Linked DNA regions of Danio rerio. The main gene of each other region encodes a partner of the protein of the gene in region 5 in a complex. Links are inferred from orthologs where the notes say so. Each region holds a gene or a part of one and is shown on either strand. Other genes may lie near its edges. The genes, in order: cwc22, sart1, lsm7, sf3b2, snrpd1, lsm8 and ppil2.

Region 1 (4,226 bases), on a different chromosome or scaffold from region 5:
CTGTACGCAGTGGGAGACTCGAGTGATTTCTGCAAACTTATGGCAAACTACTCTTTCAAACATGGATCTGCCATTCAGCAGGTAGGCTGGTATTTCAGACTTAGACACACACACACTAAGAATGCTGAGCACTAAAGGAATAAATCATTCAGAAACACACTGCATGGCCGACAACAAAAAAAGGATAATATATGAGTAAGGGGAGCGAGAGCAATATCAGCACTTCTACATAAACCTAAAAAAGCTGGACTGGAGTTTCTTTCAGTGCCAATGAAAAGAGTGGCATCATTGCAAATTACAGCAAATAACTAACAGCCAGATCATGATTTAAACCAGCGATGTCCAATTCTGCTCCTGGAGGGTCACACCGTCCTGCAGAGTTTAGCTACAGATAATACACAAGCCTTAATGTTTCTAAGGATCCTGAAGACTTTCACTAGCCGTGTCGGGGATACTGGGAATAAAGAGAAAGCTACCCACAATAGGAATGGTTACGTCTTTAAAATTGTGTCATCTAAACGCTTTTCAATGTGCTGCATCTTAAAGAAAAACATCTTATTCCTGCTGTCGTTGTTCTTAAAGGTGCAGTAGGTGATTGTCTTTAGAAACATTTTTTGCTGTGCTGATTGAAAGTCTCTTTACATTCCAATAGTAATGACTGTAGTAAATGATCTAAATGTATTTATATGTATTTTTCACAGTTTAAGGGAACTACACGCTGGTGAATGTTTGACGCTGGTGAAAGCAATTACTTTGTGCAACTAATGGGTCAAACAATCATCAAAATTATGTCACAGAATGTTTTATTTTATGAGTGAAGTCTTTAATGTGCTTTTAAATCATTTTATTATATTCAAAGCAGCACTTAGATGCGAATTTATCCTGAAAATGTGGCATGAGAGCTATGCATGTCAAGTGTCGGATGATTGCCTTTTTTGGGTGCATTTCTGATCCTTTTGCATAAAGGTTTTAATCAAAAGACAGGTAATTTAATTACTTTCGATGTGCTAAAATTTTTGTTAAACGAATGCTATTTTAAACAAGCGCATGCACATATTAAAACTGTAAAACAGACTTAAGTGCATGGTCTAATCGGAAATAAAGCAAATTAGTTATACATTTCATTATTTAATGCATAAAATAGGCTAGTCTTTTTATAAATTGAGTTTAACTGATTTGAAACTTTTAATTGCATTTTTAGGTCTTGTAAATAATAAAAGTTGCATCAGATTGATGAAAAATGAACCTGAATACCTGCCTGAACAGGGCCACAATTACTTGTTCGTGTCTAAGAAAGTTGTTAACCCCGTTTAGAGAATCATTAAAGGCTGATTTATACTTCTGTGTCAAGCGCACGTATGCTACGGTGCAGCCTACGCGTTGACGCATAGCCCTACGCAATGGCCGTCGCTGACATGCACCTCTCAAAAAAATGTAATTACATGTCGCAGTGACGCGTAGCACAAGATCTGATTGCTCGGCTTGGTAGCGCTGGAGATTCAGGATGGGACCAAGCGGAGCTATTGTTTACAAGTGTAGAGACTCGTGAAGGAGCTCCGGATGGAAAGTTTTGTTTTGTATTTACCTCATGGTTAAAGTTGTTGCACGTCCGTCGGTTCCTGCCTCAAAATGAGTGAGTTTGAGCCACTTGTACATTTAGGAAGCGTTCAGAAAAAACAAAACACTAGTGAAGAACCTCGACACAAAGGAACATTAACACCTGAGTGCCAACTAGCGTTTCGGAAGTGTTATTGCAGAACAACAGAAACAGTGCGCAAAAGTATAAATGCACAGCTACATGCGTTGCATGCACCGTGGGTCACGACGATCACTTCACGCAGAAGTATAAACCAGGCTTTATGGGTGTTTTACATTATACCTAACAAGGTTCAAATGAAGGATCTGCAACAGAGAAACTACGGATTTTGGTAAACATTCATCACTACATCGTTCTTTTCCCAAACGATGTGTCATACTATGATAGTTCAGCCGCAAATAAATAAATAAATGTTCAAAGAGATTAACAGTACATGTTAAAAATATATTTATGTACAAAAACTGTTTTTGTAATTGCAATAGTATTTCATAATGTTACTGTTTTCAAAATAGTTAAAGCCCCAAAAATAGCACAGGTACATAAAAACCATGTTTGGGGAAAAAGACCATAACATACTCTCCTAACTTAGCATAAGGTTTTAAAGGGCACAGCAAAATTATAACAATTTAATGAACGTACAATACAATCTAAGCAGTGAAACAGTTTAATAACAAACTTGTACCAATATTTGGAGTTTAGGCATTACGTTTGCTAATCTTAAACGAAAAATTCAGCCAAGGTCATATATTATTAACACGGACTTTCAATATATTTAATTCACTAACGTATGTATTAAATCAATATGCACAAATGTTTCCTATCATAAACGATACGATGTTGTCTATAGATTTCTCTTTATCTCATTGCTTTTAAAATAGATTTCACTAACGTGATATAAAAATATGGAAATGTCGGCCTACGCAATAAATATGTAACGTTAAACTAGATTTTGATTAACATTAAGTTACTTGTTGAACGGTAATTGGTTTATATTGTTATCGTTTTCGGCCTAATCCCTATCGTAACTTGTCTTTCAAATGTAACTTGAATTTTACAGACACTCAGTGGACTAAATGACAAACATAATAGTTTATCATGGGTTTAAATCAGAGTGTTTATGTTCATAATGTACACAAATGATCTCACACAAACCAAAGCAGCGCCATCTGCTCCACGCGTGCAGGCCCACAACCCGTAAAATCCCACCGGAACACATCCACGAGCCGCTTTAAAACTGCTCAGCGCGGTCAAACAAACATATCGACTTCATAATCTGGAACTAACAGCGAAGTTCTTACCTCATCTCTCGATGTAGGCCCCATATTCATTGCCGTCTGAGATTCGTTTGACTCAGCCGCCATCTTTCCCGCCGTATTCCGGAAGTGATGCTACGGGGCCTCGCGAGGTTCCAAAAGTGTGGAAAAACGCGTTTTTCTTTAGCAGTCAAACTGCAATACTGAACATATGTTGGATGATTATCATCACTGATGGAAAAACAACTATGCGTCAGGAAACAGATGCCTTGATATTATTTTTACATTACATTAATGGCTTGAAGCTAATTTAAGATTCTGTTTAGAACATAGGTAAGAAATGTAAATATAATGATTAATGGGAAAAACAAAGACTACTATATTTTTCCAGGAATCAGAGGTGTACTGTATATTTATGCAAATATTATTTTCAGGAATCACAGCTATACTGTATGTCAGAATTGTTTTAATTAACCATTGATATAGGATTTGCACTTTCACAACCGTACAATAAAATTAATTAAATAATTTTCAACATTATTATTATTCATTCATTTCTTGTCGGCTTAGTCTCTTTATTAATTCGGGGTCACCACAGAGGAATGAACCGCCAACTTATCCTTATTCAGTTTTTACGTCGTGGATGCCCTTCCAGCCGCAACCCATCACTGGGAAACATCCACACTCTCACACACACACACACACACACACACACACACACACACACACACACACACACACACACACACGCAAACACACACGCAAACACACACGCAAACACACACGCAAACAAAAACACACACACACACACACACACACACACACGTTTGTAGCTCATGTTTTTGGACTGTGGGGGAAACCGGAGCACCCAAAAGCAGGGAGAACATGCAAACTCCACACAGAAATGCCAACTGAGCAGAGGATCGAACCAACAACCTAGCGACCTTCTTGCTGTGTCGTGACAGCACTACCTACTGCGCCACTGCGCCGCCCCATTATTATCATTATTATTATTATTAGTTGTAGTAATAGTATAAGTAGTAAATATTAATACTTAACAAATAGAAACAAAAACAGAAAATATCAAACCATTATTTTGGGCATTGGATACAGCAATAAAATGAAATAATATAAAATAAAACTATTGTTAATGAAATGTAAATAAAAATATTTTAATTTTCACAAGATAAATGATTTAATAATTGGTTTGTTTGCTTTTATAATTTAAAACCAAGGTTAAAAAAAAAAACTCATTTTTATTATGCACAAATTTGCACACACTTCTAGAACAAAAACATTTTTTTTTTGGATGAATTTAAGTGCAAAATTCTTTTTTTTTTTTTTTTTTGACATAACACACTCTCAGAAATAAAGGT
Region 2 (4,222 bases), on a different chromosome or scaffold from region 5:
GAAATTTAGAATTAAGGCTTTAAATAAAGTAAAATAAAATATTTCCTTTCTGTGTGGAGTTTGTATTTTCTCCCTTTGTCAGGATGGGTTTAGTCTGTTACTCAGATTTGATGAAGTTGAGATTCTAAACTGTTCCTCCCCGACTTGTGTATAAGATAGAATTAAAACAGGTTCTTGCCATGAATATAGATGCTAGAATGGTGTTAAAAGTATAAATGTTGCATATGTATATTTTTTGCAATAGATTTTTGTAAAAATTAGAGATTTTTCTTTTTTATCAAAAATATTTTGAGCATTAAGTAAAGCTCATGCTAAAGTTTCCTACTGTAAATCTATAAAACATAATTTTTGATAAGTAATACGGATCGTTAATTTGGAAAACTTTAAGGTCAGTGTGTCAGTATATCTGTCAGGTCAGTTTATTTTTGGAACCCTCGTATAATAGCCAAATATTGTCCCATCACCCTATCAAATCATAGATCAATGAAAGGCTTAAATATTTATTCAAACTGTCACTATTTGTCAATTTAATAAAATCAATGAAACAATCAATTATTACTATCAAAATAGAAAATAAACATCAGTGTATACAAAAAAACATTTGACTGAATGTTAATGTTTATTCTTACCTTTCTTGTTTTCATTGAGATCGAGGGGTTTCAAACCAAGTTTGGCTCTCAGCTTACTGCAAAGCAATGAGTAATGGCATTCAGCAACGTACATTTGCATATACATGTACAAGTATTGCATTGGAACTTTCATTATAAAAATACCCAACTAATACATACTTGGTCTCTTCAATGCTGAGTGAAGCATCACCACTTGCAGATTTAGGACCTGGCTCTGCAAGACAAAACGCTGACATCAGTATCACTCAATGCAAACACATCTATCAAAGAATTAAAGGGATAGTTCACCTAAATATTATAATATACTCAAGTCATTCCAAACCTTTAGGAGTTTCTTTTATTTCTGTTGGAACTCAAAAGCAGATATTTTAAAGAACGTTTGAAACCATTAAAAGTAACCACCATAGTAGGAAAAACAGGTGAGGCAGTGGCACAGTAGGTAGTGCTGTCGCCTAAATGCAAGAAGGTCGCTGGTTCAAGCCTCGGCTGGGTCAGTTGGCATTTCTGTGTGAAGTTTGCATGTTCTCCCTGCGCTCGCGTGGGTTTCCTCCGGGTGCTCCAGTTTACCCCATAGTCCAAAGACATGCAGTACAGGTTACTTGGGTAGGCTAAATTGTCCATAGTATATGTGTGTGAATAAGTGTGTGGATGTTTTCCAGAGATGGGTTGCGGCTGGAAGAGCATCCGCTGTGTAAAAATGTGCTGGATAAGTTGGTGGTTCATTTCGCTGTGGCGACCCTGGATTAATAAAGGGACTAAGCCGAAAAGAAAATGAATGAAGCTGGAAAAACAAATGCTATGGAAGTAAATAACTGCTGGTTTCCAACTTTTTTCCAAAATATCTCAAGTTGTGTTTAACAAAACATAAAGAAACTCTTTTGTAAAAAGTGAATTTTTATAGTTTATTCATATTTTTCTTACTATGAACTCAACTGTTAGTTTATAGCTTTCTTCAAAATATATTGTTTGTGTTTAATTGAAGAAAGAAACTCATAAAGGTTTGTACTGTATCTACTTGAGGGTGAGCAAACTCATAGAGGTAAAGTTGGTTTTATATCCGCACATTCGTTCGTTTGGAAGTCCCTATATTGTTTACTATGTTACTTTGAATATTCGATCGGAATTAGCATGCAAGTATGACTTCTAAACAACATTAACACTATCTAATTCACTGTGAACAATATTGTACTTTGATGGTCATTTGCTGCTAATATGATTTCCCTATTTAGAATTTGCAAAGAATACTTTTCTGAAATTATATTATTAAGGAGAAAGTCTAAATATACGAATATAAAACCAACTTTACCTCTAGAGCAAACTCTTCATATTTGCATGAACCATCTCTTTTATGTTACTTTAAAAATGGCCTATGAATGTAATACAGCATATTACTTTTCCAAGTAACTTTAGCCAACACTGACAATAACTATAGTCTTCAGTAAAGTGTTATATAAGATAGTATGCTGGAGAAACAAAAATTGTGTCATTTTAATGTTTATTTTGCTTACATTAAATCAGCACCGTTTTACAGGTAGTTTGGCACTGGCTGGACAGGAAGACCAGGACTTTCTCCTTCATAACAATTTCAGAAAAGCATTCTTTACAAATTCTAAATAGGGAAATTACATTAGTAGTCAATGACTATCAAAGTACAACATTGTTCACAGTCATTTAAATAGTGCTAATGTTTGAAGTCATGCTCGCATGCCATTTAAGAGCGAATATTTAAAGTACAATATAGGCACTGTGTCACAAATAAACGAATGTGCGAATATAAAAACAGCTATACTGAATTAGGAAGACTGACCGCTGTTGTCCTCGAAAGCAGGATCAAGCTTCTCCTTCTTGACTCTGGGCTCCGCGCTGCTCTTCTCGGATTTGCCACTTCGGTCTTTCTCCGCTCCCCGACTGCTTCTATCCCTGGAGCGAGACCTCTTTCTCTTCTCTCGGTCCCTGTCCTTCTCCTTATCTCGGTCCTTGTGTTTGTGCTTCTTGTGCTCACGGTGCCGCTCCTCGGGATCCCGGTCCTTCTCCTTTTCCTTGTGTTTCTTTGATGATCCCATGTTGGGTCTGTTTGCGGATTAAATGCTGTTTGTCTAACGTTAAAGCACTTCTGTTTATAATAACTCGACGAACAGGTTAACGTTTACAGAATATTGACTGTACGATTACATCATAGTATCGGGTACAACTTATATTATTTCATTATTTCGTATGTAGTTGAGCAGCAAAATGTAAACACTAACGTTAAGCCAAAGCGACTTGCTCTACTGCAACAACACGATCGTATGATGAACGCGGTGCTGTTCTGATAACGTCCGGGTTAAATGGCATAATGGATTTGCAGCACCACCTAATGGTATGGAGGTTTTGACTTGTGTTCGTAAATATTTTAATTTAATAAAATAATGAATGCTCTCTCTGAGTTACAGAAGAAGAAAATGTAGTTTTGTAGTTTATGAATTTCTCCTATGAAACTATTAGGTTGTATAAGTAACCATGTTTTTGAACATATTGGTTGAATACAGTTTAACTGCAATCACCATAAGCTAATGTGGCGAAACCCTGGTTGATTGGTGATTACTGTGGTTTAATAGCCATGTTTGTTCATTTTTTTTTAGTAATGATTAATTTCTGCAAGACTACTAGCAGCGTGAGATTTAGACCTACAAATCAGGCTTTAGTTGATTATTTTGAACAATCAGATTTTAGAAATGTCACAGGTTCATGCATCTAACAATAAATGAGCAATTTATAAATATTATCATTTTTATTTTTATTACAAATATTTGGTTTTAAAAGCAGGCCTATAGCCAGGGGGGGTTTGGATGATTCAAAAGACCCATGCACGTCCCTACTGACAAAGTCCAGAATTTGGCTGCTATAGGAGCTCATTTGTCCCAGGTTTCCATCATAAATTGTGAAAATAACCAATAGAAGAAGACTTTAAGACAAACTGAATTTTGAATTATTCAAATGGACAAATTCCGACTGAGGATATGAGCTGGCGGGCAGCACGGTGGCGCAGTGCGTAGCACAATTGCCTCACAGCAAGAAGGTTGCTGGTTCGAGACCTGGCTGGGTCAGTTGGCGTTTCTGTGTGGAGTTTGCATGTTCTCCCCTTGTTCACGTGGGTTTCCTCCAGGTGCTCTGGTTTCCCCCACAGTCCAAAGACATGCGGTACAAGTGAACTGAATAAGTTAAATTGACCATAGTGTATGTGAGTGTGTGCAAGAGTGTATGGGTGTTTCCCAGTACTAGGTTGCAGCTGGAAGGGCATCCGCTGTGTAAAACATATGCTAGATAAGTTGGCGGTTTATTGCACTATATGGCGACCTTTGATTAATATAGAGACTAAGCTGAAAAGAAAATGAATGAATAAATAAATGATATGAGCTGGAATAGTTGTTTTTTTTTGCCTATAGTCTACTGTTTCTGATTTAAAACAAGTTTTAAACAGATTCCTAATTGTTTTAGTTTTTTTAAATGATGCATGATAATACATTTGTATTTTAAAATGTTTTCAAGTTTCTTTGTTCCAATCTCATTACATTATTTTTGAAACTGTAATAACTAGTTTAAATGCACATTTG
Region 3 (4,370 bases), on a different chromosome or scaffold from region 5:
CTGGTCATCAGGATCTGTGTGGGAAATAAATGTGGTCAGAAATCATATAAAACCATTGATATAATGATAATAGTCAAACACAGATGTCTTTACTCTTAGGGCGGGGTTTTTTCGTATTTTCGGATGTGTTAACACTTGTAGTTTAGTCAGTTTGTTTGGACCAAACAAAAAAATTATACATAGTCCTAGTTTGTCAAGCTTTCATACTCTGATTTTTGACAGAAAAGCAGCTGCATTTATGACATTCAATTCAGCTTATTCAGCTTTATTTGTATAGCGCTTTTACAATGTAGATTGTGTCAAAGCAGCTTCACATTAATGGTCATAGTAACCGGAACAGTGTAGTTCAGATTTTAGTGTTTAAGTTCAGTTCAGTTCAGTTTAGCTCAGTTCAGTGTGATTTAAAATCATTACTGAGAGTTCAAACACTGAAGAGCAAATTCATCAATGCGTAGCTCTACCAATCCTGAACCATGCGAGCCAGTGGCGACAGCGGAGAGGGGAAAAAAACTTCACCTGATAGGAGTGAAGAAAAAAAACCTTGAGAGAACCAGACTCAGTTGGGCACGACCATTTTAATTTCTCCGCTGACCAAAAGTCATGTGCAGAGCTTCAGTCACCGCGGTGGATTCTGTGACTTTAAATTTTCAAAACAATTCTGTATGTTTAGATACACTTGTTTGCTGTATGTGCATGCACACATTTTTTAATCAGTTAAATACGGTGCCCTAGAGAGGACAAATGCAGTGTAAACATGCAAATAGAAAAACACTTACAAACTGAGAATTAATCGTCATTAGTTTAGTAACGTGAATGCAACTTCCAAAATATGCACATAGAAATGTTTTGGGGGACCTTTGGGGCAGCTTTCTTTTTAGAGACAGTGGTGTTGTCAGCATTTAAAGCTAAAATTATCCAAACACCAGGGAATCATACAACTAGGACGTTAAAGTAAAACACTCAGCTCTTTGACAACACCACCACCTCTAAACAGGAAGCAGAGGGTCGGGTTCATTACATTTTCAGGTCCCCCGACACATTTCGGTGCATATTATCACATTCAGGAATATGTGTCTCAGCTTTCTCAATCTGTGTTTTTCTATTTACCTGTTGTTGTTTTTTTTTTAGTTATAGTTTATCCGAAAACTAACCGTTTCACTACTAGATTTCAGCATTTTTCAAAATATCTTCTTTTGTGTTTAACAGAAGAAAGAAACTCAAAAAGGTTTGAAACATATAAAGGGTGAGTATTCAATGACTAGGCGTGGGACAATAACTGTTTTAAGGTTTATCGCGGTTTGAAAAGTCAAGGTTTTAAAAACGTTAAAATTGTCTGTTATACCGTTCTCAAGGTATTTGTAAGTTTTTTTTTTACGACTATTTTATTGAGTTTTTTTGGGCAACAATAGAAAAGGACCATCCACATCACAAGTTACCATGATTCAGGAAACATCTGAAAAACAAATCTCTTATAAACCAACATCCAGCATGCTGTAGAGCTGAACAGTGTAGATGATTTTTTTTATATCCAAAGAAAAGAAAGATATCCAAAGATGCCTTTTCAAGTTGAAAAGAAATCTGTGCTTTTGAAACTAATTAAGACAGCAGAAGTCAATGACATTCAACAATTAATAAACAATAAATTATTTAGCCTGACATTATAGTTTCAAAATATTTTAAATGTTAAAAAATATAAACCATGTTCAATGGGGGAAAAGTTTTTTTTTTACTCAGACATTTAAAAATAAAATATTTTGGAGCAGTATGTACAATAACATGATATTGTGTAACTGTGATATTTCAACCTAAGGTTATCAACCGTCAGAATCTTATACCAGCCCATGCCTAACAATGACAGTATTCATTTTTTTAGGGTGAACTATTTAACTTCAAGTGCATTTAAACTCTCTCAGAAAACCATATTAAATGTGTCAAACCAACACCAGAATTTCCTCTGGCTCACACACACCCAAATGAAGATCTGCTGAGACTGTTTCTGATGCCTGAACTGAACGGTAAGGAGCAACATTGTTATGCTGACAAAAATAGCTATGCTGGAGCATTCTGCCTTTTTATGTTTAATATCATGGCATCATGTCCTCTTTGGGTTGATTTAGATGCATTTATATATCAGTCAACCCACAAGAGTTTGTATGTTGCTTTATATAATTTATAATTTAATAAATTGATTAATTTTATAATTTAAATTGCAGCATTTACACTAAAATTTGTTCAAAACAAACCACACTAACATTAATACTGTGAGAAATTTAATGCAGAACATAATTTGGTACATATTCGGTTTACATTAGCACATTTTACCTCGCATGTATTCAATGGTGCCGTCCAACACAAGATTCAACAACGGGTCGAAGCCTTTTAAGACGCCACTTGCTGAAAATAGGAAACACTAGTGTCAAATTTACCACAATTCATTTAAATATCATAATGTGAAACATTTAAATTCATAATTAATTTCATAAAGCAACTCCCTCACCTTCGCGACCTCCTTGAAACTTTACACGTATATGTTTGTCGATGTATTTCGACAAATCAAAAATACTCTCCTTCTTTTTCTTGTCTTTGTCCTGAGGATCCAAAAACATATTATATAACAATCTCCAGGCCTCTATAATAAATATCAGACTCGTAGCTTAGCACAAAAATACACCACACATCACATTTACAATTACCAGCACACCCTAATGTGTAACAACATAAATATCAAGAGTGTAGGATATATTCAGGTGCTTATATGTTTGTTTATAACGCCGTTTGTCCTTAAAAGTGTTTATAATGTGAACGGTGTGGAAACGTTTGCGCTACTCACCGCCATGTTCAAAACTCCTCTACGCCCCGCCCACTCCGGGTTCACGTTTGACGTCTACCTCTCGGCCAATCACAACGCGCGCAGGTGAACTCTGATATCAAATGTTTTCAATTTTATCAGCTTTATTCACGCACAACTACACAGTATATACAGCTTTAAATGTTTATATCTATATTATACGATTTATAAAAACAAAAACATGTTGAAATACGATGATACGCGTGATTAGGTTGAAGTGTTTCTCACTTCCGGTTGGAAACGGACAAACGCGGGAGTGAAGCGCGAAAAACAAATGAGTCTTTCAACAACCTAAATAACATCTTTAAAACAGGATTACACGATTTTTAATTATTATCGTTGCTTTGTGAATGAATTAGGAATGACGGAATTACTTTTTAACAAGCGGTTGCAGGTGCTGGTGAAGAGTAAAGATACCGATGAGAGGTTTGTGTTGATTGTCTTGTTTTTGAACACAATGCCTAACTTAAATTGATTTATGGTATGAATTTTGGCTTTATTTTGTCTGTAATTATTAACATTTCGAAGTCTGTAAGGGTCTATATGTGTTTATATATGTTGTTTTTGTTACTACAGGCGTTCGGTTATTCGCGTTAGCATTGAACTGCAGTTACCATCCAGCCCTGTTCACAGAAAGGTTTGTTATTAACATGTGTACAACCATATTTATGCCTTTAAGCATGTTTTATGTGGTCTTATAACTTTTTTTAAATTTTTGATCAACAGGATTTAGTTGTACGGCTGACTGATGATACTGATCTTTACTTTTTATACAACCTTATCATATCAGAGGAGGATTTTCAAAGGTATTGTGGTATTAAAAGTGTCATTTCATCAATGAGCCATATTTATTTTCAACACTTTGCTATTAGGCTTCTATGTGATTATATTCTGTGTAATCGTTTTTATTTGCTCTTCTTCACAGCTTAAAAGTACAACAAGGGCTTTTAATAGACTTCACATCATTCCCACAAAAATTTATAGACTTACTTGAACAGTGCATTTGCGAACAGGACAAAGAAAACCCACGGTAAGAGGTTATAATTCATAATAATGTTCAGATGTTGCAGTTGTTAAAGTGATAGACAGGCTAAAGTCAATAATTACTGATGATTTAGTCAACCTCAGGACAAAAATTTCTTATTGGTTCTTCACTGAGTCAAATATTAATACTGTTTGGTGTTTATTTCAAAAATATAAACTTTTTGAAATGAAACTTATATAAAATTTTATAAATATCTATCTAACTATCTATCTATCTATGGGAAAAAATAAAGAGACCCCTTGAAAACTCTATATTTGTATTTGTCTGTACATGTTTGAAAACATTTCTTTTTTTCTTCTAAATTTCAAATCAAATAATGTCATTTAAGCATTTCTTAATATTAAAAATAATAATAGCAATAAACGGTTTAAGAATTTTACTCTTGTATGGTTAAAATGGACACTAACATGTTTTTTGTAATGTTAATTTTTTGTTATTTTGCACAAAAATCAAAGCTAAAAGCACATCGAGAGCAGG
Region 4 (3,696 bases), on a different chromosome or scaffold from region 5:
TTGATTTGTTTACTTATTTAAAATTAGCTAAAATGACAAATGTCTGGGACAATTTGTTTTGTGTTCAATCTACCTAAATTTGAACTTAAAAGTTAACACCAATAACTTTTTGGAAATCTTGCCCACTATAATAACTTTTTGGACACATGGTGCACTGTAACGCCTTTTTTGATATGTGGCCCACTATAATCACTTTTTGGACATGTGGCCCACTATAATCACTTTTTGGACATGTGGCCCACTATAATAACTTTTTGCACATGTGGTCCACTATAATAACTTTTTGCACATGTGGTCCACTATAATAACTTTTTGGACATGTGACCCACTATAATAACTTTTTGCACATGTGATCCACTATAATTACTTTTTGGACATGTGGCCCACTATAATAACTTTTTGGACATGTGGCCCACTATAATAACTTTTTGGATATGTGGCCCACTATAATCACTTTTTGCACATGTGGTCCACTATAATAACTTTTTGGACATGTGACCCACTATAATAACTTTTTGCACATGTGGTCCACTATAATTACTTTTTGGACATGTGGCCCACTATAATTACTTTTTGGACATGTGGCCCACTATAATAACTTTTTGGACATGTGACCCACTATAATAACTTTTTGCACATGTGGTCCACTATAATTACTTTTTGGACATGTGGCCCACTATAATTACTTTTTGGACATGTGGCCCACTATAATAACTTTTTGGACATGTGGCCCACTATAATTACTTTTTGGAACTGTGGCCCACTATAATCACTTTTTGGAACTGTGGCCCACTATAATCACTTTTTGCACATGTGGTCCACTATAATAACTTTTTGGACATGTGACCCACTATAATCAAGTTTTGCACATGTGGCCCACTATATTAACATTTTGGACATGTGGCCCACTATATTAACATTTTGGACATGTGGCCCACTATATTAACATTTTGGACTTGTGGTCCACTATAATAACTTTTTGCACATGTGGCCCACTATATTAACATTTTGGACATGTGGCCCACTATATTAACATTTTGGACATGTGGCCCACTATATTAACATTTTGGACATGTGGCCCACTATATTAACATTTTGGACTTTTGGTCCACTATAATAACTTTTTGGACATGTGGTCCACTATAATAACTTTTTGGACATGTTGCCCACTATAATAACTTTTTGGACATGTGGCCCACTATAAAAAGCTTTTTGGACACATGGTGCACTGTAATCACTTTTTTGATATGTGGCCCACTATAATGACTTTTTGAACAAATGACCCACTATAATCACTTTTTGGATATGTGGCCCTCTATATCTTTATAGACATATGGCCCGCTTCAATAAAGTTTTGCACATGTGGTCCACTATAACCTTTTGGACACGTGGCCCACTATAATATCTTTTTGGACACGTGGCCCACTATATTAAGTTGTTGGACCATGGCCCACTATAATATCTTTTTGGACACGTGGCCCACTATAATATCCTTTTGGACACGTGGCCCACTATATTAAGTTTTGCACATGTGGCCTGCTATAATAAATAACTTTATGGACACGTGACCCACTATAATGAAGTTTTGCACATGTGGCCCACTATATTAACATTTTGGACATGTGGCCCACTATATTAACATTTTAGACATGTGGCCCACTATAATAACATTTTAGACATGTGGCCCACTATATTAACATTTTGGATAAGTGGCCCACTATATTAACATTTTAGACATGTGGCCCACTATATTAACATTTTGGATAAGTGGCCCACTATATTAACATTTTAGACATGTGGCCCACTATATTAACATTTTGGAAATGTGGCCCACTATATTAACATTTTGGACAAGTGGCCCACTATATTAACATTTTGGAAATGTGGCCCACTATATTAACATTTTGGACAAGTGGCCCACTATATTAACATTTTGGAAATGTGGCCCACTATATTAACATTTTGGACAAGTGGCCCACTATATTAACATTTTGGAAATGTGGCCCACTATATTAACATTTTAGACATGTGGCCCACTATATTAACATTTTGGATAAGTGGCCCACTATATTAACATTTTAGACATGTGGCCCACTATATTAACATTTTAGACATGTGGCCCACTATATTAACATTTTAGACATGTGGCCCACTATATTAACATTTTGGATAAGTGGCCCACTATATTAACATTTTAGACATGTGGCCCACTATATTAACATTTTGGATAAGTGGCCCACTATATTAACATTTTAGACATGTGGCCCACTATATTAACATTTTAGACATGTGGCTCACTATATTAACATTTTGGAAATGTGGCCCACTATATTAACATTTTGGATAAGTGGCCCACTATATTAACATTTTGGAAATGTGGCCCACTATATTAACATTTTAGACATGTGGCCCACTATATTAACATTTTGGATAAGTGGCCCACTATATTAACATTTTGGACATGTGGCCCACTATATTAACATTTTAGAAATGTGGCCCACTATATTAACATTTTAGACATGTGGCCCACTATATTAACATTTTAGACATGTGGCCCACTATATTAACATTTTGGATAAGTGGCCCACTATATTAACATTTTAGACATGTGGCCCACTATATTAACATTTTGGATAAGTGGCCCACTATATTAACATTTTGGACATGTGGCCCACTATATTAACATTTTAGACATGTGGCCCACTATATTATCATTTTAGACATGTGGCCCACTATATTAAGTTGTTGGACATGTGTCTCGCTATATTAACATTTTGGACATGTCATGCCTCTACCCCTTTTTAATATCTCTACTTTAGTTACTTTACACGCCCCTTGCTGCTGATTACGAGTGTGACTCGTTCTGCACTGTGGTCAAAAGTGTTTCTCAAATATTGCTCAGTGCACCCTTTATTAATAAATAACCCTTATTATTAAATGACAAAATAACACTGGATATTAATATCTCACTTTTCAACGTGTGGGTTTGGAGTTGCATTTAGATCTTCGATCCACTGCGTGATTCATGCTCCTCCATCACAGCACGACATCCAACCAGATTCACCTGCGCTGATGTTTAAAACTGGGAAATGTTGTTGCGAGTCATATTGTGATGGATATGGGCATTGAACAGGTTTTTGTTTCTCACAGCTGACAGATGATGTGAAAAAGGAGAAGGAAAAGGAGCCGGAGAAGCCTGAAAAGCCTGAAATCCTGTCCTTTAAGAAGAAGGGGTTCGAGCTGGAGAAGAGGGACAGCGACGACAGTGATGAGGTCAGTGGAAGGACATGTAGATGTCTTATGGTCTAATAATAATCCTGTCTAACTCCTCCACTTCCTGTTTGACAGGAAATCAAGAAGGACTTACCCAAGCTGTCTAAAAAGAAGCTCAGGAGGATGAACAGGTTGACTGTGGCTGAACTCAAACAGGTAATTTAACTACTTTAAAGGGCACCTACTATGCAAAAATCACTTTTATAAGGGGTTTAAAGGCAGTTGTTCAGCTACAGTGTGTGATTATGATCAGCTTTTAAAGGTAAGTTACAATCCTGGTCTCGGACATCAAGGACATAACTTACGAATTAAAATTAAAAATCCTTAATCAAAAAGAGGTTTAACCAAAATGTAACAAGATAACAGGGATTAAAAATATAATCCCTGGTGCCCCTGCGCTCTCTCTCCCTAGATATAAACCAA
Region 5 (4,211 bases):
GCTGATTTCTGGGTCTGGTGAGAGCACTTTTAGCTTAGCATAAATCATTGAATCAGATTAGACCATTAGCATCTCACTTGATTCTTCTGTAGTTACATTGTGTATTACAACTAGCAAGAAATGAAAAGTTGCTATGATCTATATCAGGGGTTCCCAAACTTTTTAACTCGTGACCCCCAAAATAACAATTTTAGTAACTCACAACCCCACTATCCTCTGAGGTGGTTATAAGTAGGGCCAGATGGAATCTGCGGGCGTTTTTTGCTATTTCTGCGGAGAGTTTTGGTAAAGATCTGCGGAATTATTTTGGGAGTATCATAACTAAAACCTTAATATATGACATAAAAAAAAATATCTTTATATAATTTTTATTTAATGTTTAAAATGCTAATCCAATTAGATTCACATTATTTGGTAAACAAAGCAAGTCTCTCATATAATATCTCTACTAAAAGACAGAAAATATTACGGTACAAACTGCATTGTACATAAGTCAGACGAACATTTTCATATTAGTCAATAATATTACTGAAATAAATGTAAAAACTGAATTAATATAGATTTACACACATTTACTCAAGTAAATAAACAGAATTAATGATGGGCTAAACATCAGCGGAATTCAGCTCGCGCAAAATAAGTGTGGGCCTAGTAATAAGCATACAAACACTGTACACAATAATGCACACACACAAACCAATAGCAACTATATAAACAAGCTTATTGACAACACAACAAAAGTGCAGCAGTTTATCAACCATATCATTTTATAGTCACTATTCATTTGTTTAATTTAATATTAACCTCACTTAATGAGAATTGTGAAATATATACAGCACAAGTCTATTCTTGATTTAATTTCGGAGACCGCCACTTGGAGATCGTCCTCTATGTTCAGTCGTGGCCTTTATTTTTAATGTACAGGAGTGCTGTAAATGTGTCAAAGTTTAACATTGAGCCGTAAAATAAATCTGCTGCAACTAACACTATTGCTGTGTTATTAATCTAGCGTAATCACTCAAGGAGTCGTAATCCAATGGAAAAATAATGTAAACGCTGCTGTCTGTTTATGTACATGTTTTTGTTTTAAATGTAACTATTAAACACTATCTTCTGCAGGTTATGGATAAAATATGGTAATTTTAATAATTTATTTATATGTATATATTGGAAATCACCAAGCAACCCCCCCTCAAGGACTCACGACCTCCCAGGAGGTCCCGACTCCCACTTTGGGAATCACTGGTCTAAAAATTGAAAATCTCCACAAGTAAAGATGTAAATTTTCACACAATACCATGATCTATTGTTTTTCTGCTCACATGATTATTATAATACGAGTCTGACTCAGTGGCATTAATTCATCAACAAAGTATAACAAGTTTTCTAATTATTATTATTAGCACAATATAGGGCATATACAATGAGTCTTTTTAATTCAAGTTTATTTGTATAGCGCTTTTTACAATGACTAGTGTTTCAAAGCAGCTTTATAAAAGGTGCACAGTATTGCATAACAATCCAATTAAGTCAAGTCATTTTCAGCTAAAAGGTTAAATGCATTTTTTCCGGGAGCTGACAGATGTAATTGAGGTAAAGTTGTTTTTATATTCACACATTCAGACTTAATATAATTTCAGAAAAGTATTATTTGCAAATACTAAATAGGGGAATCATATTATCACCAAATGACTATAAAGCACAATATTGTTTACGGTCTAATATTGTTTTGAAGTCATTCTTATATGTGATTTCAGATCAAATATTCAAAGCAGCGTGGTAAAAAATAATGAATCTGTATTCACCTTTTTAAATACTGCTTTGCTATTTCATAGAACGCCAAAGTCTAAACCTGCTAATATAAAACCAACTTCACCTCAATATAAGCACATTTATTGGCCACCTATGAGATGTAATGCATCAGATTCAAAGAGAAAATGCATAATATGACCTCATTTAATGAAACAGGCACATAGCAGACAGTTTATAAATGTGATTATGGTGCATTACTTAAAATAATAATTACCTGTAATTGTGCCATGGACCTGTGTGCCATTCTTCAGCTCAATCGTGACGGTTTCATGGCTCAATTTCATCAAAAACCTGCAGGTCACAATCATAAAAACAATGATAAACAATTATAATAACATAACGTCTAATATCTACATATAAAGCATTTTGTCAATATGATTATATAAAGTATTTACAGCTTACTAATGATAATAAACTGATAACTATATTTAAAACAAATGATAAACTATATATCCAATAATCTTTAGACTTCCTAACTACACACTATAGTGTCTATTAACATAATTATATGATTATATACAGCTAGCATATTTAGAAACTAGTAAATAAATGTAGCTAACTTAGCATTAACAGTTATTGTTTCTGTTTATGTATTTGTTGCATTTAAGACCCCGCATGATCAAACTACCACCAAAAAACGCACAATGTATTAATAATCTAAGACTAAACCCGCTTATTACATAGTTTAAAACACGTATGTGCTTAAAACAAATGAGTAAAACGTTCAAACAAACGCTCGCCCATTCATTCATTCCCGCCTGATGAAGCTAACGGCTAACTAGCAGCTACACACAATCCGGCTCCATCTATTAAAATACATCGCGCATCCGCAAAGTTTCTTTGTGTATTTTACTTGTATGACAGCTGTAGATGTTTATTACCTGACGAGTTTCATGATGGCGGTGGACTTTGAGAGAAAATCCTCCACCTAGATGAGAAAAAATTGTAGCGCAAAACGAATGTAGGACGCTACTGGAGAGATGGTACAATCACTTCCTGGGTGAAAGGGAAACAGAATTCTGAGGACAGAAGGGTTGCCATTACTCAACAAAATCACCGGAATATTTTTACACGCTGGTAATTTCATTTATAAGCATGTTATAAACATACAAAAGCGAATTTAAAATTTTAAATGTTGCTACAACAATTTTTATTATGATAATAGCTTAAAAGTATTTTTCAATTTCGATATCTCATGGTACATAGGTTAATAAAAATACACTTTTAATTAACCAAAACAACAATAATTTAATCTCACAGTAAATAGTTTCCTTAAAGCATTCTTTTAAAAAACCAAAACAGCAATATTAATCATATTTAAGGCTTCAATTGCGTTTTAAGATAATAAAAGTATAATACAGATTTAAATTTTGACACTTTTTTTTCATAAATGTTTAAATCTTTTCCATATCACAGCGCAGCTACAAAATATGATTTATTTTAGACTATGAATAAAAATATACTATAATAAAATATTAACTTTATTCTGTTTTTTTCTTTGTAATTATATTTTCTTAATTCAAAAAAATAGCATTCAACATCCACCGGAATAGATTTAGTTTTAACGTATCTGGCAACCCCACAGTGACGATACAGTAAATAGGTTAATAAAAACACACTTTTATTAAACCAAAACAGCAATAATACCCATATTTAAGGCTTTACTTGTGTTTTAAGATAATAAAAGTATAATACAGCTTTAAATTTAGACAATTTTTCATGTAGTGTCATTTTCATATCAAAGTGAAGCTCCAAAATACTGTTTATTGTAGATAATGAATAAATAAGATACTATAATATAATGAAAGCTTTATTCTGTCTTTACTCTATTTATATTTTCCCAGTTTAAAAAAAAAGCTGCATTTAACAACCACAGGAATAGATTTATTTTTAACGTATCTGGCAACCCTACAGTGACAATATCTCACGGTAAAGGTAAATAGGTTAATATAAACATACTTTTAATTAACCAAAACAGCAATAATAATCAAATTTAAAGTTTTAGATGCGTTTTAAGATAATAAAAGTATAATACAACTTTAAATTTAAACAATTTTTACGTATTTTTTATACTACAGTGAATCTCTAAAATACTATTTATTTTAGATAATGAATAAATAATATACTATAATATAATATAAAGTTTCTTCTGTCTTTGTAATTATATTTTCTCTATTAAAAATAACATTCATGCACAGTTGTGGATTCAATTTTAAAATATCTGGCAACCCCGTGGCGATATCTCAAGTAAAGGTAAATAAATTAATAAAAACATACTTTAATTAACAGAAACAGCAATAATAGTCATATTTAAGCTTTAATTGGGTTTCGAGATAATATAAGTATAATACAGCTTTAAATTCAGACACTTTTTTCACGTAGCAAAAGATTTAATTTAA
Region 6 (4,378 bases), on a different chromosome or scaffold from region 5:
ATGAGCTTTTCTTTGTGGGAAATAAGCTAAATCGTCATGAATGCAATAAAACAAAATGGGCTTTAAATGCTTTTCAATTTCTTCATGTAATACGGAAATTTCTTTTGACTTTTGGGTGATAAAATAGGCATTTTGGAGATGGACCTAATCTTACTTTTACTGTTAATTTATTACTTTTTTTGTTTTTGACTGAGAATTATCCAGAAAATGGATACTTACCAATATTTTCCCCTTTATACAAGTTTTTAAAAAATTTAAAATCTTGATTTATCACTTTTTGTTTTATTATTTCAACACCCGTAAAAAACAAAACAAACAAAAAACAAATATGCATTCAGTCTTTTTCAAGATTAAAAAAGCAGGTAATATTGCTGCTTATAGATGCCTGCAGATTTCCTAGGGAAAGTTTTCAACTGGATCAAAATGAAATTTTCTGTCCATCAATGCACCACAGAATTGAGTGGTTCTGCTCTTATGTTTCCAAGATCCAGCGCAGAATCGGTTTCTTCATCAATCTCACCGATCACAGCCCTTAAACACAAAATAATTTCCCATTTATGTCAACCAAATAAAAGAAAAAAATCATAAACCTTGCACTGTTCTGCACAACATAAACATAATTACAAGAAAGGAGTTTAATACTCACACATTATCTCCTCTGACAATATACAGTCCCAGAACCACCTGCTCGACCCCCTGTGAAGAGCTGAAGACCCGCTCGTGGCTTTCATCCAGGATGAGGTTGATTGCCTGATCAAAGCCTTTTAGCGTCCCCTAAAAACAGCACAAGTCAGTAAGCGATCTTCTTCATTTCTGCACACAGACAATGATTAATTGGTAAGTTCACCAAAAAACACAGATTTTAATATTAATTTATTCACACTCAGGCTATTCACAATCTAGGGGACTTTTCTCCTCAGTTAAACATAAAAGACATTTAAACAAAACAAAAATACAAATGAAAAATATGTGTCGGAGCTGTGAGTTACAAGTGATAATGTTTAGATTTTCCTAATACAGTCAAACACTCCCAAAGTGTCTTTGACTTGCACTTTATTAAACACAAAGGTGGATAACTCCCTTTAAAGTACACGAGGAAGACTCACCACGATCATTCTGCCATCCGAAGTGACAATAGCAACAGTCCCTTGAAAAAAATCACAGTCAAGGAAATTTCAAGCTCATTTTATGTATGCATGGTCACTCACTGCGTTTATTTGTTCTCTGGATTTGTGTTTATATAGTACACATAATGTGTGTTCAAAATCTCTATTAAGTATTTTATTCATTGACTGATTCATATTCTCTATCTATCTATCTATCTATCTATCTATCTATCTATCTATCTATCTATCTATCTATCTATCTATCTATCTATCTATCTATCTATCTACATGAATACAAATGGTCATGGTCAAGAAATTAAAACTTTTCTAGATTGTTTTACATATATAGATTATATTTATATACAGATTAACATGAATACGAACAATCAAATATACTTATTTTTTACGAAATATTTAAGAAATGAAAATGTTTCTAGATTGTTTTACATTTCTAAATTATATTTATTTATAGATTAACATGAATAAAAACAGTCAAATATGCTTACTTTTAACCAAAAATTAAGAAAAGTTTTCTAGATTGTTTTACATATATGTATTTTATCTATAGATTAACAAATTCAAACAGTCAAATAAACTTATTTTTACCGCAATTTTAAGAAATTAAAACGTTTCTAGGTTGTTTTACATAGATTATATTTATATATAGATTAACATAAATACAAAGGGTCATATATAATTACTTTTAACTAAAATTGAACAAATGAAAACTTTTTTTAGATTGTTGGATTGCATCTATATGTAGACTAACATAAATGCAAATGGTCAAATATACTTAATTTTATGCAAAATTTAAGAAATAAAAACTTTTCTACATTGTTTTACATATATGGATTACATCTATAAATAGATTAACATAAATAAAAATAATCAAATATACTTATTTTTACGAAATATTTCAGAAATTAAAACCTTTGTAGATTGTTTTGCATTTATAAATTAGATTATATGTATTTATAGATTAACATGAATGCAAACGGTCAAATATACTTATATCCAAAATGTAAATTTTTTTTTTTACTTTTCTAGATTGTTTTACATACATAAATTATATCTATATAGATTAACATGAATACAAACAGTCAAATATACTTATTTCTACCCGATATGCAAGATGTGAACACATTAATATGTAATATTTACAGTAAATAGTAATATTCCAGTTATATGATATGTCTTAATTAAATATTTGAAGACTCGTTTTCATTGGTCCAGAAAAAAAAACTCAAATATTTGACAAAAAACAGGCATCTATGAAGTTAATATCACATCCAGATAACCGATAATCATCTTGAACTGATCTATTTTGCTCAAGAAATGTATGTGCGTACATTAATATGCTATAACGTGAATTATAACGACGTATGATCATCAAAAGCTAATTCACTTGCTGGCGCGCCATATATATAAAGTTAGACATTTCACGCTCAAACACACACAATCAACAACAAAACACGGGGTATCGATCAACAACATCACCGCCGTGCTGTTCACGATGCGTATTAAAGGATACGGTGAATGTAACTCTCGAGAGCGGTGGACATCTTTTCTGCTGGTGCGTGTTTTTAAATCCTCCGGTGCTCGTTCGCTAGCTCCTACAACGAAAAGCATTCGTTCTTGAGCCGGAAGCGATAACGGAGAGACTCGAGTAGGCGATGACCGATTGAGCACAACTTCAGGCAGAACTAATGGAGTTGGAGCAACGAAAGCTGTCATGAGTGAATTAGTATTTATTTAATAAGCTTTAAATAACTAGTACGCGACAATAGAACACACATTTTAATGCCAGGGATGATAGAAGATAAATATAGTAAGAGTACAAATAATTAAACATTAATTAAGAAGCAAAACAAACACACGTACATAAAAATAAGCGTATAAATAATTAAATAGATTTCTTACAATTACACACGTTTACATCAATCAAAACTGTTAAAAATAGACCACAAATGGACAGTGCTAATGAAGTTAATTTTATAGTTTAAACAAATTAATGTGAAGTTTAGCCGTCGTGAGGGAGTGATGCGGTATTTGTCCAGCAGATGACGCGCTCTGGAGATTTCTGGTTTCTAAGGAAGAGAGCACAATACTGTTTCTAACGAGTAACTTTAGAGATTATAATCAGTTCTTGCTGAAAAGGCTAACTGTTTGAGGGTCAAAGTGGGGGTCGATGGAAACACTGGTGGTAATGATGACGACGGCACTTACACAAAAGTACAATCAATGGTTGTGGGATGATTTCAGACGCTAATTGTAATTGTACATCGCCATTATGGGAATTAATGCTGATTGAACTATATAAAAGTGCTGTAGTGGTTAAAAATAGTTGTTATACGGTGTTTTGCTACACACTAGCATGGAAAAAATAATTAAAACTTGTTAATATTCGTAAGGTACTGAATGTTTAATAAATTTGATGGAATTGTATGGTGGTTCTGGAATTACGTTGCTATTACATCAGAATCAGGGACTGACCTAACCAATGATGTAATGTAATGTGTATTTATATTATAGATCTTACACCAAAAGCGGTTCACAATCATGAGGGGGGTCTCTCCACACCACCACCAGTGTGCAGCATCACTTGATGATGCGACGGCAGCCACAGGACCACAGTGCCAGTGCGGACACCACACACCAGGTATTGGTGGAGAGACAGTGATAGAGCCAATTCGGTGGATGGGGATGATTGGGAGGCCAGGCCATGATGGGTAAGGGCCAATGGAGGGAATATGGCCAGGACACTAGGGTTACACCCCTACTCTTTACGAGAAGTGCCATGGGATTTTTATTGACCACAGAGAATCAAGACCTGGGTTTAACTTCTCATCTGAAAGATGAAGCAAGCAACCGCTTAGGACCCCAAGAAATTTGGGGGCCCTCAATAATTGCCCACACTGTAAAACGTTTCACATTGGTTAAACTTACAAACTCAAGTTCAGCAGCTGCCTTGAAAATGTGAGGCAACAACTTAGAGAGATTCTTTGTTTCAATGTAAGATGTTGAGTTTTAGTTAAATATATTGTAAAACTCAACATCTTAAGAATCTCTCCAAGTTGAGTTGACTCACATTTTCAAGGCAGCTGCTGAACTTGAGTTTGTAAGTTTAACCAAGTGAAACGTTTTTACAGAAGCGTAAATCATATTTTGAATGGTGATGGTGTAATAAATGAGATTTTAACGTAATTATACCATCTACACAGATTTGTTTTACACACCTAATCATAGAGCAGTCCACCAGTCAAGATAAAGAT
Region 7 (4,181 bases), on a different chromosome or scaffold from region 5:
GGGGTCGCCCACAGGAGAACATGCAAACTCCCAGAGAAATGCCAACTGACCCAGCAAAGGCTTGAACCAGCAACCTTCTTGCTGTAAGGCAATTGTGCTACCCACTGCACCACCGTGACGCCAAATTTATATTCATTTCTATGTAAAACTTATGTAGATAATGCTTACAACCACACTAATAATGTGAGAATGTGATTGGCCAAGGACAGAATAGAAGTCAAGACAACTAACCTATATTCTAACCTATAAGTATACAGATATCTGTTTTCCATAGGTGCGTCCCAAATCGCATACTTACGCACTATTCTACGCCATTTTGTAGTATAAATAGTGCAAGTAGTGTGTTCACACTGAAAACTCTATAAATAATAAGTGCATTTTAATACCAGGATGATGCACTCGTTCAACTATTACAATGAAGTGTGGAATGTTGGACACTTCACGCACTCAACAATCTCAGATTTGCTCACATAGCGGAAGGAGCATTGGTATAGGGTGCACATGTTGGATTACTTTATTTATTTTGAATTGTGAAAGCAAAATTATCCTACAAGAGTGATTATAGCGCCTCCCGAAGGTGAATGCGGTTATCCTTGCATATATTATCTGGTCCTTTGGTCATTTATTTTACTAATATGGCAACCATCAAACGTCATCAGGGAAATGGTTTGAATTTCCGTTTAGCAAAATAACAGTTAGTGTTCCATTTGGGACGACAATACATACATATACTATGCTGTTGAGTGTGTTAGTGCAGGGGTTCCCAAACTTTTCAGCCCGCGACCCCCAAAATGAGAATGCCAGTGACTCGTGACCCCCAATATTCTCTGAGGTGGTGGTTATAAATACAGAAACCTTGTATGCAATGACGCACACACACCAATAGACCCAAGTCTATTCTTTGTTTTTTTTATGTATGTCAGTGCTGTAAATGGGTTAGAAAGTTTAACCTGGTGTTCCAAAATCTGCTGCATCTGACAGTATTGCTGTGTCTTTAGTATAATGTAATTACTCAAGAAGACGCAATCCAATAGAACTAGTAACTATAAGCTACTATAGTAACTATATAGTTTATAGTAACTATAAACAACTATTTTTTTCTCATCAGTAGGTTATTGATAAAATACAGTTAGTCTTAAGGTTTAATAAAAATTAATTGATTTTTGAAAATCAACAGGCAACCCCCATTCATTGTCCCGCGACCCCTCGGGGGGTCCCGACCCCCACTTTGAGAACCTCTGTGTTAGTGCATAAGTACATAGTGCTTAATGTATAGCGTGCCATTTGGGACGCAGCTCATGACTTTTACAAAACTTTGTGGGTTTTCCTTTTTTTCCAGGCCTGGAAAATGTCAAGTCAAAATTCAATGATTTTTCTAGGTTTTCCATGACCGTATGAACCCTGTACAGTGCTCAGCATAAATGAGTATAACCTCCTTTTGAAAATGTATATTTTTATCCACGTCTTAGAAAATACAGCCAATAATCTTGGTGCATTTAAACAAAATATTTTTATCCATTAAAATAAAAGTTTGGATACCTAGTGCCTTTAACAATAAAAAGATAATATATTTAAATTCAAACAAGTTATTGCAATATATATATATTTATACAACAGTTGTCTGGTTCTTGAATCTGATTGGCTAATAGCCGTGATATATTTAAGTAATTTCAGCACCAGTAAAGCCTCTTTACCTCTTTTTTTTGTGTATTACTCCGCCCACATACAACCAGCAAAAAAGCAGACACTACAGATCTAAAGTTTAAAAGATGCTTGCTCAGCTGTTTAGCTATCAGCTTATGATTTGAATCCAAGGTGGAAGAAAGTAGTTCCTCATACAAAAGGGTTTTTGAGAATCTCCATGTTTGATTTTGTTTTTATATACACAATTATGCCGTTAAACTGTTGTATAAACGCAATATCACACTCGTAGCAGTGCGATATGGCTGTATATCGGCACTGGCGGGGGCACTAAGGCACTCGGCCTCATGCCAACGCACATCTCCCACCAGATATACAGCCATATCACACTGCTATATATATATATATATATATATATATATATATATATATATATATATATATATATATATATATATATATATATATAGACCCACTAGAAAAATGACAACTGTTTTGTGTTTTATTATTTTTTTATTGAATAATTTTCCCAAACATAATTGTTACTGACTATATGCATAAATATATTTACGCTAAATGATATAACACTATTTCTATTTCACCAATATGTGAAATTATATTCAAATAGACACTTTTCTTGCATTTCAAATGTTTTCTATGTAACTTATAAGTTATATTTAATTTGATAAAGAAACAAAAATGGTACGTCCTACAGTCCCAAAAGCTTGACATGACTTGAAGTAACGTTACATCAGGTTAACGCAAATACCTGCTTTCTTCCCTCCATAAAACTGGGTGTATTCTGTAGATGTAATGTACCTGAAAAACAGAGTATTGAATAAATCATTTGAAAGCTGTATAAAGAGTATAACGTCGTCATTTACATATTTGCATTCTTTAGATAATTCATGTTACGTCGCTGAATCTAATACATGAACATTAATCAAAATGCCGTCGTTGCAGCTGAATGAAGAACGACTTACTGTCCCAAAATTAAAATTAAAACATTACAAACCCTAAATAATACAAACAACGCAAACAGTTAAAGAAGCGTACTCAGTTTTCAGTGAAATAATAAAATTCAACCGTTAGCAAACGTGTCATATTTCACTCCAGCAACTCACATCTTGTCTTTTTGATGCTGTCTTTTCCCCATTTTTGCGACCTAAGCGGTGGTGCTAAATAAAAGAATTAAAATTCAGGAGTTTATAAACAAGCAACACAAACGCACGACTGTTTAAATACTCTACTTCCGGTGTGTCCTAGGCGCGACCGGTAAATGCAACCGACCTAAAACAACAAAATGTTTTTTGGTCCTCTTCGGTTTTGACTGAGATACTGTTCATAAAATTCGTTTTTTAATTACTGTAAATTATGTCTATGCTCAACTTGGGATGTCTGAATAATACTCAATAATGAGGGGGATATTTAAAGTGTTTGATGTTTGTTGATCACAAAATAAAAAAAACATGAAACCTATGAATTCATTCATTCATTCATTTTCTTTTCGGCTTAACTTAGTCCCTTTATTAATCAGGGGTCACCACAACGGAATGACCCGCTAACTTAACCAGCATATGTTTACGTATGTTGTATCCTTTCAGCTGCAACCCAGTACTGGCAAACATCCATACACACTCATTCACACACACTCACACTGCGGCCAATTTAGTTTATTCAATTCACCTATAGCTATGTCTTTGGACTGTGGGGGAAACCGGAGCACCTGGAGGAAACCCACACCAACATGAGGAGTACATGCAAATGCCACAAACGTCAACTCGAACCAGCGACCCTTTTGCTGTGATGCAACAGAGCTACCAACTGCGCCACCGCGCGGCCTACATATAAACTAATTCATTTCATCTATCCCGTGAAACAAGTTGTTAAAAACGTTTTAGACATGCAATCTGCATGTTCTTTTTGTGAATTAGAGGAATTGCTGAAACACCTGAATACTCATTGAATGCACATATTCCCAAATGTTTTGGTTTGATGTTAAATATGTTATATTTAAACGTACAAAATTAAAAATGCAGTTTTCTTGTAAAGATGTTTTTGACATACAATAATAATAATAAAACTTTGGAGCAAATTTTGTTTATTAATTTAATGATTATACAGTGCTCAACATATAGGCTACACCCCTCACAAATCACTCTATTAAATTCATATTTTTAATAGGAAGCTATATAATATTATATTTGTGCATATACATTAGATTAGTCAGTACTGAAGCCAAATCTGGAGCTTATCTAAATAACTTATGATGACGGTCAAAAAACCGAGTACAGTCAAATGTATATGTTAGAGAAAAATATTAAATATAAGTTTAAAAAAGAGGAAAAATCAAGAGAAGCAAAAAAATAAAATGAAAAATTTAGTTGAAATTTTGTAAGTTGTACATTTTTCACAATATTTTGCTTGAATTTAATTGTATTATTTTTCAATTTTTAAATATGTTTGGTGACCAAAATATTTTTTTAATAAATATATCTGTTTAATAACTCTGTTTTGTTTAAATGCACCAACATACATTT

The links.
Region 1: snrpd1 (region 5) and cwc22 share a complex: the UniProt entries of both Homo sapiens proteins name them as parts of the minor spliceosome. The link is inferred for Danio rerio from reciprocal best matches to the Homo sapiens genes SNRPD1 and CWC22.
Region 2: snrpd1 (region 5) and sart1 share a complex: the UniProt entries of both Homo sapiens proteins name them as parts of the U4/U6-U5 tri-snRNP complex. The link is inferred for Danio rerio from reciprocal best matches to the Homo sapiens genes SNRPD1 and SART1.
Region 3: snrpd1 (region 5) and lsm7 share a complex: the UniProt entries of both Homo sapiens proteins name them as parts of the U4/U6-U5 tri-snRNP complex. The link is inferred for Danio rerio from reciprocal best matches to the Homo sapiens genes SNRPD1 and LSM7.
Region 4: snrpd1 (region 5) and sf3b2 share a complex: the UniProt entries of both Homo sapiens proteins name them as parts of the minor spliceosome. The link is inferred for Danio rerio from reciprocal best matches to the Homo sapiens genes SNRPD1 and SF3B2.
Region 6: snrpd1 (region 5) and lsm8 share a complex: the UniProt entries of both Homo sapiens proteins name them as parts of the U4/U6-U5 tri-snRNP complex. The link is inferred for Danio rerio from reciprocal best matches to the Homo sapiens genes SNRPD1 and LSM8.
Region 7: snrpd1 (region 5) and ppil2 share a complex: the UniProt entries of both Homo sapiens proteins name them as parts of the minor spliceosome. The link is inferred for Danio rerio from reciprocal best matches to the Homo sapiens genes SNRPD1 and PPIL2.

Annotation. Positions count from the first base shown.
Region 1 is NC_133184.1:45,378,365-45,382,590, forward strand, and holds the start of cwc22 (pre-mRNA-splicing factor CWC22 homolog), read right to left. Parts: upstream 2,990-4,226; 5' UTR 2,959-2,989; coding exon 2,896-2,958; exon of another isoform or gene 2,750-2,895; intron 1-2,749. UniProt on the Homo sapiens protein: Required for pre-mRNA splicing as component of the spliceosome. As a component of the minor spliceosome, involved in the splicing of U12-type introns in pre-mRNAs. Promotes exon-junction complex (EJC) assembly.
Region 2 is NC_133196.1:30,343,831-30,348,052, reverse strand, and holds the start of sart1 (U4/U6.U5 tri-snRNP-associated protein 1), read right to left. Parts: upstream 2,920-4,222; 5' UTR 2,693-2,919; coding exon of another isoform or gene 2,437-2,692; intron 844-2,436; coding exon of another isoform or gene 789-843; intron 686-788; coding exon of another isoform or gene 630-685; intron 1-629. UniProt on the Homo sapiens protein: Plays a role in mRNA splicing as a component of the U4/U6-U5 tri-snRNP, one of the building blocks of the spliceosome. May also bind to DNA.
Region 3 is NC_133197.1:10,400,887-10,405,256, reverse strand, and holds the start of lsm7 (U6 snRNA-associated Sm-like protein LSm7), read right to left. Parts: upstream 2,852-4,370; 5' UTR 2,837-2,851; coding exon 2,831-2,836; intron 2,589-2,830; coding exon 2,498-2,588; intron 2,395-2,497; coding exon 2,323-2,394; intron 15-2,322; coding exon 1-14. Other genes in the region: sass6 (spindle assembly abnormal protein 6 homolog), read left to right, coding at 3,210-3,274, 3,425-3,485, 3,575-3,654, 3,774-3,878. UniProt on the Homo sapiens protein: Plays a role in pre-mRNA splicing as component of the U4/U6-U5 tri-snRNP complex that is involved in spliceosome assembly, and as component of the precatalytic spliceosome (spliceosome B complex).
Region 4 is NC_133182.1:6,520,190-6,523,885, forward strand, and holds part of sf3b2 (splicing factor 3B subunit 2), read left to right. Parts: intron 1-3,150; coding exon 3,151-3,273; intron 3,274-3,348; coding exon 3,349-3,429; intron 3,430-3,696. UniProt on the Homo sapiens protein: Component of the 17S U2 SnRNP complex of the spliceosome, a large ribonucleoprotein complex that removes introns from transcribed pre-mRNAs.
Region 5 is NC_133194.1:2,232,898-2,237,108, reverse strand, and holds the start of snrpd1 (small nuclear ribonucleoprotein Sm D1), read right to left. Parts: upstream 2,852-4,211; 5' UTR 2,708-2,851; coding exon 2,694-2,707; intron 2,104-2,693; coding exon 2,027-2,103; intron 1-2,026. UniProt on the Homo sapiens protein: Plays a role in pre-mRNA splicing as a core component of the spliceosomal U1, U2, U4 and U5 small nuclear ribonucleoproteins (snRNPs), the building blocks of the spliceosome.
Region 6 is NC_133179.1:10,099,413-10,103,790, reverse strand, and holds lsm8 (LSM8 homolog, U6 small nuclear RNA associated), read right to left. Parts: upstream 2,829-4,378; 5' UTR 2,669-2,828; coding exon 2,638-2,668; intron 1,148-2,637; coding exon 1,107-1,147; intron 775-1,106; coding exon 647-774; intron 532-646; coding exon 441-531; 3' UTR 266-440; downstream 1-265. UniProt on the Homo sapiens protein: Plays a role in pre-mRNA splicing as component of the U4/U6-U5 tri-snRNP complex that is involved in spliceosome assembly, and as component of the precatalytic spliceosome (spliceosome B complex).
Region 7 is NC_133180.1:13,584,787-13,588,967, reverse strand, and holds the start of ppil2 (RING-type E3 ubiquitin-protein ligase PPIL2), read right to left. Parts: upstream 2,906-4,181; 5' UTR 2,798-2,905; coding exon 2,766-2,797; intron 2,461-2,765; coding exon 2,411-2,460; intron 1-2,410. UniProt on the Homo sapiens protein: Has a ubiquitin-protein ligase activity acting as an E3 ubiquitin protein ligase or as an ubiquitin-ubiquitin ligase promoting elongation of ubiquitin chains on substrates.